2 linked regions of the Drosophila melanogaster genome follow. Changing the gene in region 1 together with any one later gene gives a genetic interaction. Each region holds a gene or a part of one and is shown on either strand. Other genes may lie near its edges. The genes, in order: RYBP and Fadd.

Evidence for each region.
Region 2: of RYBP (region 1) and Fadd, changing one suppresses a phenotype caused by changing the other (phenotypic suppression), as found in Drosophila melanogaster (one study listed by BioGRID).

The regions. Positions count from the first base shown.
Region 1 is NT_033778.4:22,666,277-22,674,155, forward strand, and holds RYBP (ring and YY1 binding protein), read left to right. Parts: upstream 1-4,310; 5' UTR 4,311-4,830; coding exon 4,831-4,969; intron 4,970-5,353; coding exon 5,354-5,667; 3' UTR 5,668-6,936; downstream 6,937-7,879. Other genes in the region: CG30273 (uncharacterized protein), read left to right, coding at 906-1,050, 1,107-1,242, 1,314-1,419; CG30269 (uncharacterized protein), read left to right, coding at 1,711-2,039, 2,373-2,478; CG13516 (uncharacterized protein), read left to right, coding at 3,324-3,579, 3,648-3,777, 3,869-3,989.
Region 2 is NT_033777.3:22,030,288-22,038,088, forward strand, and holds Fadd (Fas-associated death domain), read left to right. Parts: upstream 1-4,167; 5' UTR 4,168-4,275; coding exon 4,276-4,995; 3' UTR 4,996-5,330; downstream 5,331-7,801. Other genes in the region: CG13409 (uncharacterized protein), read right to left, coding at 19-296, 354-453, 529-609, 663-919, 986-1,436; CG6015 (uncharacterized protein), read right to left, coding at 1,939-2,472, 2,533-3,011, 3,077-3,794; CG45099 (uncharacterized protein), read right to left, coding at 3,795-3,899; pit (pitchoune), read left to right, coding at 5,548-5,728, 5,789-6,010, 6,220-6,906, 6,965-7,590, 7,670-7,801.

The sequences.
Region 1 (7,879 bases):
CCTTATCAGTTCAGCTTGGACTTGTTCCTAGAATTCGGGAGTACAGTTTTGAGGCTTAATAAATAGAAGATTAAATGAACTTAGTTCTGAAAAGATGCCACGCAAAAGCACACCAGCATTCAAAGGACGGTCCGCGGAGGTTTACAAAAGTTTATCCGAACCGAAGGCTACAATTCCGAATTCTGGAGCAAAAGATACGTCCCAAGTATGTCTTAATTCCGAGGACTTCAAGTTGTCGTGGAGCCAAAGATTGTGGTTTAATACGCTGTATGTTATTCTTGAGCTAAGATTGCCTTCGTCCAGATGAAATACAGTTTCAAGTTTGTCTTATTTTAGATCCTTTTGTTGCTGCGGACAACCGATAAATAAAAATGTTAGTGATAATTTGGATGAGTAATGCAAATTCTAAAGACTTCAATAATTTGATTAAATGTATGCACATATGTAGAATATTATTAATAAAATAAATAAGTAAAGTACAATAACTGCTCTTGACTCAGCTAATCATTCTTATCTGTATTGACATTATTGCACAGCACACGACAAAATTGTCAATTGCATATTTATTTAGATATGTAATTGTATTAGCTCATCTAGTTTTAACCTGGATTATCATTAGTTAATTATAATAAAATCTTGGGCGATTGAAGGAAACAAGATTTAAAAGTCCAGTACTTAATACTGCGCTTTCCTCCTTCCTTGAACATGATTTCAATTGACAATCGAATTTACTCTCGCTTTCAACAAATTAAGTTGCTTGACTTGGTTGGCGCTCAAAAGCAATGCAAACAAGATACAAAGCTACGACAAAGAGCTTTTGCCAGCAACAATGTTGCGCAACAGCAGTCGCAAGAGTAGTGAAACGCAAGACTCGGTTTCAGTTCGTGACTACCAACCAAACGAAGATGCAGTACAATCAGCAGCCGGCGGGAGCGCCGGGCTATCCCCACCAGATGCCCCCACCGAGCTATGAGCAGGTGGTGCACGTGCAGGCGCCAGTTCGGGTGGTTCACCACACGACAGCACCTCCGCCCGTGGTGATCATACAACGTGGGTTTTTTTCTCAATGTGACAGACATAAGATTAACATTGACAATGACTTGCAGATCAAGCTGTATTGCCGGTGGGTCCGGATCCCACCTTCATCACCTGCCCGCATTGCCATGTCCAGAAACTGACCCGCGTGGAGTACTCGCCCAGTGTGAAAACTCACTGCATGGCCGCCATTCTATGCATCGTTGGGTAAGATTTGCAGATTCTCACCAGCCCCGTGCTACCATCTTATCTAATCTCTGGTGGAAAATCACAAACAGCCTCTGGTGTTGTGCCTGCCTGCCTTACTGCGCCACCAGCTGCATGAACGCCAATCACTTTTGCGGCAATTGCAATAAGTTCGTCGGCGTCTACAACAGCGATTAGTAATACGGAGTAAACAAAACCAAACGAACCCAACCAAATCGAACCGATCAACGCTCACAACCTCAACACACCCACACACAAAATCATCCACGAATGCGAACATTTTTGGTCAGGTGTCCACAGACCGACAGCTGTACGATGAAATTTCCCCAATGGGGTAAACAATCGGGCCGCCAAGCTTTTGGCTTTACTTGATAAGAATACGCGATACGCGAGACACATTTTTTTTTCCAACGGCGCTCCCTTGAGTCATTTTCCAGCGATTCACACACCCAGTTGGGCCAAAATATCATGGATTCCGTCTATCCAGCTGCACCCTTGGAGGCGCCCAAGGGATCCGTCGAGCTGCAGGCGACACCCGAGCAACAACACCTTCTGCCACCGGCTCCACCCAGTTACGACCAGGCCACAACCACTCCGGCTGAAACCACGGGACCAGCTCCAGTTCCAGCGAGCACATCCACCACACAGCACACGGTCGTCGTGGTGCCCGGTTCACCGTACGGCCCGGAGCCCATGGACGTGCAGTGCCCGTACTGCCACAATTACGCCCGGACACGGGTCTCCTTCAAGCCCAACTCGCGCACCCATCTGATAGCCTTGATATTATGCCTGTTCCAGTGAGTACCCGAAATAGATAACACTGTGTGTGGGCCAGTAGCCCACTTTGGGCACTCGAAACAGAAAAAGCTCAATTTATTCGGAATGAGAATAGCATAGAATAGATAAATTTCATTCCTTACCAGAGAGCACTCTTTTGTATTTATATATGTATTTTTGATTTCATTTCATATCTATGATATATTTTTAGTAGCTTAGCATCAGAAACAAAGGCTATATATTACATCAAATGATAGTCTTAGCCAGCAATAATCGCACAGAATAGACCTTGGCTATTAGGTGTATAATCCACTTGTCGGTGACTCACTTCCTTTTCTTTTACTTCCCTACAGGTTGTACTGCTGTGTGTGTCTGCCGTACTGCATTTCCAGTTGCATGAACACCAATCACTACTGTGGCATGTGCGATCGTTATTTGGGCACCTACGATCGCAAATGAGCAACCAAAAATGTTTCGGGGGCGACCTGTTCATGTGTACATATTTTCTTCAAGTAATTAGTTAATAAATGGACTGCAGCACGCAAACTGAACTAAAGCGAAGTATTTCGTCATTACAAGTGACGCTTTAAGAGCTTTAAAGTGGCATAGAATTACTATTTTGTGTTAGCGAAATTAACCCAGTTTTCAAATAAGTATAATATTATTGATGACCTAAATATTTAATTTTAAATTTGCTCTTAAAAACCAAAGTAAACTGGTTTTTTAACTTCAATTATTAGGCCATTCTTGGTTAAGTTATTCAGTAATTTTTTCGATTTAATTGCTGAAAGCTTTTTTGCTTAATGTTAAATTATACTCTGCTGACTATTACGCCCTTGGAATCCTATATATCAGCTTTATTTGCCAAAAGCCTAACTAATTACTGACTATGCTGAAGTGGCTATCTGTATCTTTATCGGACATCCTATTCCCGTACCTGAGATAAGTTCGATAAACAATGAAGATCATTGTGTGCACTAGATAAAGCTCGGTAAACAGTATTCGAGAGATACTTTCGGTTTTGCAACAGCCCCAAAACTGATTGCTCAACCGGATGGGAGCTTTTCCAAGCTCGCTCCGATCTGAGCCGAAAAAAAACTGAAACTGAATCTCTACCTGGATCCAAATTCGCTGGCAGTTGCGAGCGGCGTTCGAAGTGCAAAAGACGCCGTCTAGTTGTAAATACGCAAAGTAAACAACTTTTTTTTTTCGCTTAGCGAGAACCAGAATCTCTTAGTCATTTTAATAAGTCGAAACCATACCCGAACTTCGCACTAGAGCAAGGGTTTTATAGTGCGTTAACCATGGATCAGAAGCGAGCCATGCTTTATCCGCAAGTGGATTTCAACGCCCCGACGGCCCCCTCGCCGACGCCAACGAGGGAGTTGGGCAATCCCATCGCCAACGGCCTGCCCATCGAGGCTCCTCCGTCGTACGATGTGGCGGTGTCTGTTCCGGTGGCTCCAGCGGTTTCCGCACCAGCAATCGCCCCAGCACGACCACCGCCAGTGGTTGTCGTGGAGCAGCCAGCCCCACAACCACCCACAGTGGTTCCAACAGGTGTGTAGTTTGCACATAGTTATAGTTCGGCTGTGAAGCTCTACTGACGTCACTCCCTGCTGTTGCAGATACTCTACACTTGGGTCCAAATCGAAGTAGGGTTCTCTGCCCAGCCTGTGGAGCCAACAAAACTACGAGGATGACACACACGGCTAACTCCAGGACCCATATGGTGGCAGGTCTCCTCTGTTTGGTCGGGTAAGTTGAGTTTCTTATAAAAAGGAGTAGAGTTTATCTGCTTATTGATTTATCTTAAATTTATATATTTCATGTCTCATCCTCTTTAAAGATTCTGCTGCTGTGCCTGTTTTGTTCCCTATTGCATGAACAGTTGCCGCACTGGAAACCACTATTGTCGCAAGTGTAACACCTTCCTGGGAGCCTACAATCCAAAGGGGATGAACCGATGATAAGACTGCCAAGATAAAACGTGATCTGGGGGCTAGACAGACAGAACAGATACAAGTTATAAGTAAACACAACGCAGCTGATGCTTGCCAGCGGCTAAATTAAGGTTGTATGTACATAGGCCATTGGCTAGAGCGCAAGGCGTCAAAAAGAATCATCATTGGTCATTTAAGCATATGTGAGGTAGCTTAAAAACAATTTAATAAGTTTCCCAAATTCTTCTTTACCCATAAGCACCACTATAGTAAACATAAGCAAAACCGCTTACCTTCCCATTGTTGCTGAAGCAGCTGGCCTTTGGCTGGCTAGAAAAATAAAAGCGTGGGCGTAAGCTTCACAATAAAATGCAAACACAAAACAATGACAAGCCACATTTCAAAATAAACGTAGTTTGGCGCCCAATCGAAAAGTGAGTTGCCAGATCAGCACCATACGCTAGCCAACACTGGCTGCGCGCTACTATCGAAATATCGATAGCCTGGCATTGAGCACTTCTACGATATGGCAATGTTGCCGCAGCCAAAAAGACAATTGCAGAAAGTTTTTTTCACAACAAAAAGCCACCGAAAACGCTCCAATTAAGCAACAAATGCGTGCCAAAAGCGCAGCGAATCTCCACTGAGGCCACCGTGTGTGCGTGAGCGTGGCAAAGGTGCGAGCAGAGCAACCAAACATCACAGGAACACGGCCAGCAGCAGCAGCGGATCAGCAGAGGGGCGGGCAGAGGCAGAGGCGGTGGCAGAGGGAAAAGTCGGGCATTTTCATTGGATTCGTTTTGGTCCGATTCGATTGGATTGCGGTTACTCCAGCGGCGCCCAGGCGTTCCTCCTCTCCTCCTGTATTATGGACAAGAAATCCTCGCCGGTGCGACGACAAAAGCGGCAGGCGAAGGTGATCGAGGAGAACTTCTGGGACTGCAGCGTCTGCACATATAGAAACTCGGCGGAGGCCTTCAAGTGTCGCATGTGCGACGTGCGGAAAGGTAAGTGACCCCGATTTTGCTTCGTTTTCGCTTCCGAGTTCCAAGATTGAGCAGATTGCCAGCCATGTTCCGATTTTCGCTTTCTTGATCATGTGTCATGGATCGGTTTGTTTATCCTTCTACAAGGATACACACACATCGGTATTAACAATATTGGAATATATCTGGTTGAACTGTAGATAGTAATAGTCAAAAAAAGACTGTTGACTGTTGATTAGATGGCCAACGATGGTATCGATTTGCTTACGTAGAATAAATAAATTCACACTGCGCAGAAACCGGGAATACTTCTCGAAACGATAAACATGCTAATTGAAACAATTTTAAACTATTTATATACTATTTTTGGTGCGCTCAATAAGACTATACACCCTTGTTTTTTAGGAACCTCCACGCGAAAGCCACGCCTGAACTCAGCGCTAGTCGCCCAGCAGGCCGCCACTTTGCCAGGAGCCAGTGTCAACATGCCCAACGGGAAGTCCGCCTCCGGATCACGGCATGGCAGTGGGCACGACCGGCAGAGGCACAAGCGGTATCCGGCACGGTTGAAAAACGTGGACCGATCGACGGCACAGACGCGAGAGGTGACGGTCAACTCGGTGACCGTGTTCATCACAGAGTACAAGGCCAAGCCGGTGAGCAGCCGACGCGAATCCAGTGAGCAGAGCTTCAGCGAGAGCAACGACAGCCGGAGTTAGAGGAGGGATACAAGGCCTCCTCGCCCCCAGCTCCCCAATATTCTACGCCACGGTTCCCGCTCCCCTGTTACAAGTTGTAAATTCTAAGTGTTAGGCCCCTGGCGATAACAATTGTAAATCGAAATCCATTTAAGTTACCAAGTATTAGGCCACGTTTAAAGCCCCGAAAGCCAAGCCCCCACTAGTTCATGACTTCCAGCCCAGGCCAAGATGGCAAAGCAAAGCGAAGCGACGGCGAGTCGATTGCATTTACACGACGCTCTCCAAATCCCATTTTAAAATGCGCTAGACCCTGTAAATAGCGATGCATGAGTTCCCTGAATATCTCTGTCTCGTATCGTAATTTTAGTTGTAATTTAATTCTGCTACTCTAATTCCTAATTTATTGATGCAAAGGTAACTATGTATAACCGCCGTGTACATGTTCAACAAAGATATCATTTGTTTTGTAAGTGTCGAATTAAAATATGGTTTAACTAAGTGCAAGTTAATCTCAATGTTCCACTAGCAGCGCCCATCCCCCATGGTTTGTGTAACTATTATAAACTGCCCTTTTTTTTTTGACTAGAAAATGCTGCTTGACAACGAAGTGTAGCGAGAAGAGAGCCACGTAGCTTGGTTGTAGACAATTTGCTAATTTTAATTTGTTTGTATACAAGACTGATTAAGCGTTACCAACCAGATATAGAGAGGTCCGCACACGCACCCAGCCCGAATCCGATTTTCCTTTTGGTTTACACCCGAGATAGCCTCACAGCCAGCAAACAATAGACGAATACTCGAACTCGCAAAAAGAGAATTTTGTACTTAGCAGAGCTTAAACGCTCTTCCACCATAGCAATAATTACTTAGCAAACAATGAAAAACATGAATTTTGATATGAACGATTGTATTTAATATTGGATAACAGATATAATGGTTTATAAAGTGCTTGATATTTGTATTTTGAGATAGATTATTTAGCCACACATGAACACTAACACACACCCACTCGAAACTGCCGACTGTAGTCAAGAAACAACTTCCAATAGACAAACTTCAATTTGGATTATCGTAAACATGTACAATTAATATGAACAGTTTGTATTCCAAATGCTTGGCCAGTTGAGCATTAATCAACAGCAACGACAAAGACAAAGACAAAACTTAAGCAAACGCAATTAAAGCCGCACTCACACGACAACACGGATAGTTAAAACTTGAATTCCAATTGTAAAGCGTAAACTTTTAAAGCATTATAAAATACATTAAATAAATTTCGAAAATGCTATTCCAAGGAGTCGTTGTCTTCTCTCCCGCCCTAAGATGAGTTCAATTTAATATTTTTTATTTGGGCTTATCCAACTTGCTAAACTTTTGTTGCCAAGTTTTATTTTTGATTCTTTTTATGGCTGACATTCGGCTTAAACTTTAAAGGTCTTTAAAGAGCAAGGCAGCAGCGAGAACCACCCCGGCTGGATGCCAGTACATCCACCGTTTCCCCAGGACCCAGGACCACCCACGCATCGCCTTTCCCCCATCCTCCCTTCTGTGTGTGAGTGTGTTCCGAAAGGGGGGGGGGGGGGGGCGCAGCCCGAGCACCATCTGTATCTGTATCAGAGTATCTGCTTACGCGTGCTCCCGGCCTCCAGTTTTTGGGCCTCAGATCAGAGCAGCGCTTCTGCCAGAGTTTCGGTTTCAGATGCACGGAAAACGGGAACAGGAGATGGTGCTCGAGCTGGAGCTGGAGCCGGAGCTGGAGCCACTGTCTCTGGTCGATGGCTACGCCTTTGGCAGCTGCCTCAACTTTTCGCACAGAGCCGGAGCACATCGCACGCTTCGCAAATAAATTACAAATTGTTTCGTTCCAGCTATGCTGGCACAGTCAAACTATACTAACATCAACCCGCTTTGTGTAATGTATGCTTGGATACCTATTAAGCATGTTCGATGTTCGCTAATTGTAAAACTTGTGTTTATGTTTTGATTTCTTCTCAGTTCTTTACTGTTTACCAACAAATTAAAATGTTGTAAATATAAATTTATTTCCCTTGAATTAGCTCACAAGAATGCACTGAACGAGGCTTGACTGTACTTACATACATACACACCCGATTTCATCCACATCCACATCCCACACCCGTAGTTCGCGCAATTCGCTTCAGACTTCTAGCTCGTCGCTCGAAGCTCTCGTCGTTCGTATTTTCTCTAAAATGTTAAAATTCACAGGACC
Region 2 (7,801 bases), on another chromosome or scaffold:
CGTATTATGTATACCCACATTGTAGTTTTTCGTATCCACAAAGTGACTGTATGTGGGATCCCTCAGCTCGTTGCATTTCTCCCACGTGGCCAAAACGATGGCGCACAGCCAAATGGGCAGGACGACGATCACCTTGACCAGGTAAAATCGCACGAAGCTGCGCTCGTTCTGTCGCAGTCCATGGTAGATGCACAGCCAAAACATGAGTAGAGCACAAAGGAACGTCGCTTGCAGAATGGCGTCCAGCATTCCAGGCAGCCAGGAGTTCATCAGGAATATCAGCGGGAAGAAGGGATCTGTGCGTAGAAGATCATTAGTCTATACGCGCTAACTAATCCGGGTGAAACACCTACTGTCGTACAAAAGGAGCAGGGGCAGGAGTACCGACAACCATCGCTGCTCAATGGACCAATCATAGATTGGATACTTGCGCAAGGTGTGGGCATACCAGCACTGAAAGCAGAAAGATAGTATTATTTCATATGTCTAGAGCCACATAACTTGGCTTATTAGCTGACAAAAACTTACTATGACAATGAAGGTGAACAGCAGAAAGATGCACCTAAACCAGATTTCAATCTGCGTGAAGTCCGGACTGTAAGTCTTGAACTGAAGTGGAAAGTTAGTGACCATCACTACAATGGGAATGCCATGCCACTCACGTAAAATGTTATGCTGCGTATATTATACTTCTGATGGAATGACTCCAAGCCGTAAAAGCGCACAGTGATAATATAGTGGGCATAGTCGAGGAATCCCAGATGCATCACCGTGAACTCCTCGCAGTCGTTCCGTACGCAGACCAAGTGCCGCGTCCGGTTGTGAGCCACTCCGGATCCGAGGACACTTTGGGGCTTGTGCTGCTCGTTTATGCCATCGATTGAGACGCTCACTTGGAAACTCTTGTCGTACCGCTCGTCTGAATGATTGTCATACATATATGTAAATGTAAGAAAAGTAAAATAGTCGCAATCACAAGACCCACCATCATTGTTGTCCGTCACCAGCTTGGCTATCAGCCACATTTGCTGCGAATATGTGGTGGTCAGCGGCGACTTCATGGCGAAGGGTCCCTTCCCCAGGACCGTTGGGCTATGCGCCAGCGAGGTGTTCGCCAGAATCTGCTGGGCGGTCAGCGATGATGTGCTGGTTATGGGCGGTCCCGTCAGCCCGATGACTATGCCCAGACCGAAGCAGGTGAAGAATCCCAGGAAGACCATGACAAACTCGCGCTTGTGCATCGAGTAGAGTCGCATATGGACGGATCGCTCGCAGCGATCGTGATGATAGGCGGGCGAGATGTACCTGCTGAAGTCGCTGAACAAATCGCTGAACTGTGAGAGGGAAGATTTGAGGCGCAGCAGGAGGCCGCCGGACGGCAGCTGGTAGGCGTAGCCCAGGCCAGAGGCATCCGCATCCGAGTGGGGCTTGGCCATGGCCGCTGGCAGGAATTACGGGTGTCTAGCTGATGCTCGGTGTCCACCTAGCCGTCGCCTTTTACTGCATCTCCTCTACGCCGTAGAACTCTTTTTTTTTCGCGTTTTTTTTACAGATTATTGACAAGTCTTCCACAATCCGTCCGACGTTTGTGCGACTTTCGTGGAAAATATCGATTTTGGCCAGCACTACTCGCATATGTTTTGACTTGCCAGTGGGGGTGGCTGGGCCATTGGGTGGTGGGCCGACCATCCGTCGAGTTGTTTGCCATTTCACATGCACTGCGCATGCGTACTCTTATCACAACTGAAGGTAAATAAAAGCCAATCTCGCAAAGGGGGGAGGGAATATCAAGCAACCGGATGGATAAATAACTTAGGAATTGGGCTTGATACACATGAATTAAATGAGCTCAATTGGAACATAATGGGTAAGCAATATAATCAATCAATTTACACATCAGTTTGGCTTACATCTATCTATGTTATTTTGTGCGGACCATTAGTCCCAGTATTTTATCTGGCCATCCCAGCCAGCGGTGACCACTTTGCTGGCCTCATGCGGATGCCAGAGGGCACTGATGCAGACGCCGTCGTGCGCCTGCCACTTCTTGTACATCTTCGTCGTCTTCCAGTCCCAAATATAACATTTGCCATCGCCATCGCCCGACACCAGATAGCTCATGTCCGGCGAAAAGTCCAGCTGGCAGGCGTAGCCAGAGACCATGTGACCGGTGAAGGTCTTTTTGCGGTTCATCTTGAAGCGATTGAGGGCGGAGAAGATGACGATCTTGTTGTCTAACGACTGGCAGGCCATCCATTTGCCATTGGGCGCCAATGTGACCGCCGGCATGGAATGCATAGTGGGGTCGGCAATGTACTTCATGTCCACAGGAATGTCCCACTCCCATATGCGCATCGATTTGTCGTCCGAGGTGGTCACAAACCGTCGGTTGTCGTCCACAAAGGTGATGGTGCTCACAGATCCCAAGTGCCGGTCGTATTCCTGTACAATATCACCGCTGCGAGTGTCCCACTGCGAATTGATAGGAAAACAATTGTAACATGAGCATCTACTTTTGTAAATTTTACTTACACAAATGATCTTCTTGTCGGAGGTGCCGGCAACGAACAAATGTTGCTTGCTATTATCCGGATGGAATTTCACACAGAAAGGCATTTTACGCGTTGTGAATCGGGACACTACATCGCCCGTTTCGGCATCCCACAACTTTATGTAGCGATCATACGAGGCAGACAGGAAGTTGGTACCCCTGTTGTTCCACGCAATATCCTTGATGGCCTGCCGGTGACCGGAGAAGGTGCGTATGCAGCGTCGCTCGCCGTAAACCTCCCACAGTTTGACGCGACAGTCCATCGATCCGGAGAGCAGAAGATGAGCGGTCTTGGGGAACCAGCGGATGGAGGAGATGCCCTTGTTGTGGCCCGACCAGGTGTGTATGTGCGCCTTGGGCAGAAAGCATTTGGTCGGTGGTGCATTCGATCGTAGATTCACGCCCAGATCATGAGGAGCATGCAAATAAGAGCGGCCCTGATAGTCGTACGCATCCTTGACTGTGGAGCAAAAAAGGAAAAGATTATTAACGATATATATTCGGTGGCTATTGGATTAAACTCACTGTGCAGCGTCGACTTCTCCTCGAGCGGCTTATCCTCGGGAATGCGTCCGCGCTTATGTCGCTTAGACAGCAGCTCGTCCAGTTCGGCGCGCTCCTGTTCATTTGGCTTTGCCACCGACACCTCGTTTTCGAACTTGCCCCAGGGACCCAGAAAGCCCTCAATGTCCTCGGGATTATCATTTTTCTCCTGCTTGCGCAGTTTCTTTGCCTTGGGCGGCTCAAATACCGTCTTGCCATTGTCATCGTACGCAGACTGCAGGTCACCCACAAAAGACTGGCCGTCCGCCTGATCGTCTACGCTGGGGTCCAATGCGTAGCCGTAGGTGTGAAAGGTGCGTCGCTGGTTCTCAAATTCGAAGGCATTGATGTGGGCCTTCTCTACGTAGCCGGCTAGGGTGTTCCGCGGAGCGCGCTGCTGCATGGTGAGGTCCGGATGCTCCGGACCTTTTACCGGAGCATACATCTCCTCATAGCGCGGATTGTAGGTTACCTCCTTGAGCGTGGGATCCAGAGTTCGGGGCACGGCCGATGCTCCAAGGGGAACCACCGTTGGCGCCGCACAAACAGCAATGGACTTGGATAGCGAGTGTGTCTTGTCCACGGGCAGCAGGTGATCCGGAATGGGAGCGGAGGGCTCTGAATTCGTGGTGGCTGTGGCGGCGTCCGCATGGTCCGATTCTTCATCCGAGGAACTGGCGTATGACTGAAGGCCCAACATTTAGAGGCTGCGGACGAACTCTGTGTACTTGTTAACGAAATGCTGAAGGTAAATCAAGACCAGAGTGTAGAGGAGGAATACGAAAACGTTAATGGATATTTCCATTCGTCTACACGTTTGCGTTTATCATTAGTTGCTTCAGTAAAAGTAACAAAAACATAAATATATATCTATCAAAACTAGGGATGGTGCGTGCCATCTGTTATCGATGTTATCGAATGGCTATGTAACGGTCTCACTAATAGATCCCAAACATGCAAGGTGGTGCAAGTTTAAAGCTTATTTTAAATTTTTTAAGTTGTATGGAAATAGTATTTGATATTTTTTTGCTCATTTTGCTCAAACACCTATTCAGTGCTGATCGATAACAGGTAAGGAAATGTTTGGCCATACGGTCATACTACATCAGGGAGTGAAGTTGCGTTGATACATTTTGGGAACTTAAGACCGCTGAAAATACCGTCTCTGTAAATTAGTCACAATGACTGCAGGCAGGCACTGGAGCTACGACAGCCTCAAACAAATCGCCATTGATGGATGCACCGAGAACGTGGAGCAGTTGAAACTAATTTTTGTCGAAGAGATTGGTTCGCGACGCAGATCGGATTGCATACGAACCATCGAGGATTTAATTGACTGCCTGGAACGAGCGGACGAACTATCGGAGTACAATGTGGAGCCACTGCGCCGGATATCAGGCAATATGCCACAGCTCATCGAGGCTCTGAGCGCCTACACAAAGCCGGAAAACATTCTTGGACATCCGGTTAATCTGTACCAGGAACTCCGATTGGCCGAGGAACTTCGTCAGCAGCTCCGTATTGCTCCAGCTTCCCAGAATGCTCAGCCATCAGTTTCGGAATTAGCTGCCGCTGTGCCTCCAACAGCAATCCAAAACTATGCCACCCCAGCTGCTTTTACGGATCACAAACGAACGATGGTCTTTAAGAAAATATCCGAGGAACTGGGTCGCTATTGGCGACGACTGGGCCGATCGGCGGGCATTGGCGAGGGCCAAATGGACACAATCGAGGAGCGCTACCCGCACGACTTGAAGTCCCAGATTCTGCGACTGCTGCAGCTCATCGAAGAGGATGATTGCCACGATCCCAAGCACTTTCTGCTTCGTCTGTGTCGCGCCCTGGGCGATTGTGGTCGCAATGATCTGCGCAAGAGGGTGGAGCAGATAATGTCGCACTAGAACGCATTCACTTATATGCACTTTATATGCATTTTGTTACGATACTAGTAATTAATGTGCTGGAGAGCGACAAAGATGTGCCTTTATTGTAATTATTCACATGTTATTCCAAGGTTGGACAGAGCATAAAAATCGCACACTAAATTAATATGTGTCAACGCGGAATTGTACGATCTTATAAGAAAATGTGATTGACGTATTCCATTCAAAATGGGAATTCACATTTCCTTATCATAAGATAGTCTACAAAAAATATTGTTAACTCGTAATACACAAGTCACATAGTTGAAGATAGCAATGTACAATGGATATAAAATACGTTTTGCAAACGCTTTTGCTTCTCTTATCCTCAAAAGACGGTTGAAAATTTGTTTACAAATAGGGTCACACCTTTTGCATTGAACTATCGAATTGGCAATTATCGATAGGCACAGCTGGCTGAATATCGTTTGCTTCGGGGTGAATGGTTAGCAACACGTGCGCGCAATATTTTATTTGAGAATTCTGTTTTTAACCATTAAACTCTATTAAAAAGCATACATAGTTAGCAATATGTCTATTCGGGAGAAGCTGCTGATGAAGAAGATCGTTAAGCGGGAGAAGATGAAGAAGGAGCTCTCGCAGAAGAAGGGAAACAAGAACGCCCAAAAGCAGGAGCCACCCAAACAAAATGGCAATAAACCCAGTAAAAAACCGGAGAAACTCAGTAAAAAGCATGTGGCCAAGGATGAGGGTACGATTAAAAACGTGTGTGCCTAATAAATATATGTAAGATTCACTTTTCGACCCGCAGATGACGACTTAGAGGAGGATTTCCAGGAGGCGCCGCTGCCCAAGAAGAAGCAACAAAAACAGCCTCCAAAAAAGCAACAAATTCAGGTGGCCAACTCGGATTCGGAATCAGATGACGATGAGCAGGAGGATGAGGCAGATGAGGATAGCGATTTGGACGAAGTAGCCGAAGTTGATGAGGAGGATGTTGACAGCGGGAGTGAAGATGATGACCAGCAGGAAGGTAAGTAAAAGTGTCGATATTTAGGGAATTCGTTCTAACTACCAATAATAATGATGATTTTTAAAGGCGAATTTGAGCAGCTCTGGTGCAGCGAGTTAATGTTGCCCAGGGCAGGCATGAAATCCATTTAAAAACCAACTGAATTATATAAAATACTAAAAAACTGTATCCCTGTGAAAACCAAAATTAACCAAGAGTACCTGTTTCAGATGAAGATGAAGAAGAACCTGTGCCAGCCAAGAAAACGAAGTTGCTTCCCAACAAGTCCAAGGCACAGAATGGCAAACCAGCTAAAGACGACGAGCCCTTTACCGTGGAATCCTCACTGGCTGCACTGGATTACCGAGATTCGGATGATCGCAGCTTTGCCTCTTTAAAGGGCGCCGTGTCCGAGGCCACATTGCGAGCCATTAAGGAGATGGGTTTTACCGAGATGACTGAAATTCAGTCGAAATCGCTGACACCCCTACTAAAGGGACGGGATCTGGTGGGTGCTGCCCAGACGGGTTCCGGCAAAACCCTGGCCTTCCTGATACCCGCCGTCGAGCTGATAAACAAGCTGAGGTTTATGCCACGCAATGGTACCGGCGTGATCATCATCTCACCTACCCGAGAGTTGTCCATGCAAACTTTCGGTGTGCTCAAAGAGCTGATGGCACACCACCATCACACTTATGGCTTGGTAATGGGCGGCTCCAATCGGCAGGTGGAGAGCGAGAAGTTGGGCAAGGGCATCAACATTCTGGTGGCCACACCGGGTCGTCTGCTGGATCATTTACAAAACTCGCCCGACTTTCTGTACAAGAACCTTCAGTGCCTGATTATCGATGAAGTGGATCGAATTCTGGAGATCGGTTTTGAGGAGGAGCTTAAGCAAATAATAAATCTGCTGCCAAGTGAGTTACGGGTAACTAAAGGTTTTTAGTGTATTTTTAAACTAACCTAATCTTTTAGAACGCCGCCAGACGATGCTCTTCTCGGCCACACAGACGGCTCGCATCGAAGCGCTTTCCAAGCTGGCCCTTAAGTCGGAACCAATTTATGTAGGGGTTCACGACAACCAGGACACGGCGACCGTAGATGGACTCGAGCAGGGGTACATTGTTTGCCCCTCGGAGAAGCGACTGCTCGTGCTCTTCACGTTCCTCAAAAAGAATCGTAAGAAGAAGGTGATGGTGTTCTTCTCGTCCTGCATGTCCGTCAAATACCACCACGAGCTCTTCAACTACATTGATCTGCCAGTGACCTCCATCCACGGTAAACAAAAGCAAACGAAACGAACGACCACCTTCTTCCAGTTCTGCAACGCGGAATCTGGGATTCTCTTATGTACGGATGTGGCTGCTCGTGGATTGGACATTCCGCAAGTCGATTGGATTGTGCAGTACGATCCTCCAGATGATCCACGCGAGTATATTCACAGGGTGGGCCGAACGGCCAGAGGATCGGGCACCTCGGGTCACGCCCTCCTTCTGATGCGACCGGAGGAGCTGGGCTTCCTGCGCTACCTTAAGGCCGCCAAGGTGCCGCTCAATGAGTTCGAGTTCTCCTGGCAGAAGATAGCTGATATTCAACTGCAGGTGGGTGCTCTTTCTTTGAGTTAAAATTGTTAGCTATGGTTTAAGGTGATTTAATTCGTATGTTTCTTATCCACTGCAGCTGGAGAAACTGATCGCCAAGAACTATTTCCTAAACCAGTCGGCCAAGGAAGCCTTTAAGTCGTATGTGCGCGCATACGATTCGCATCAATTGAAGCAGATCTTCAATGTGAACACGTTGGACCTGCAGGCG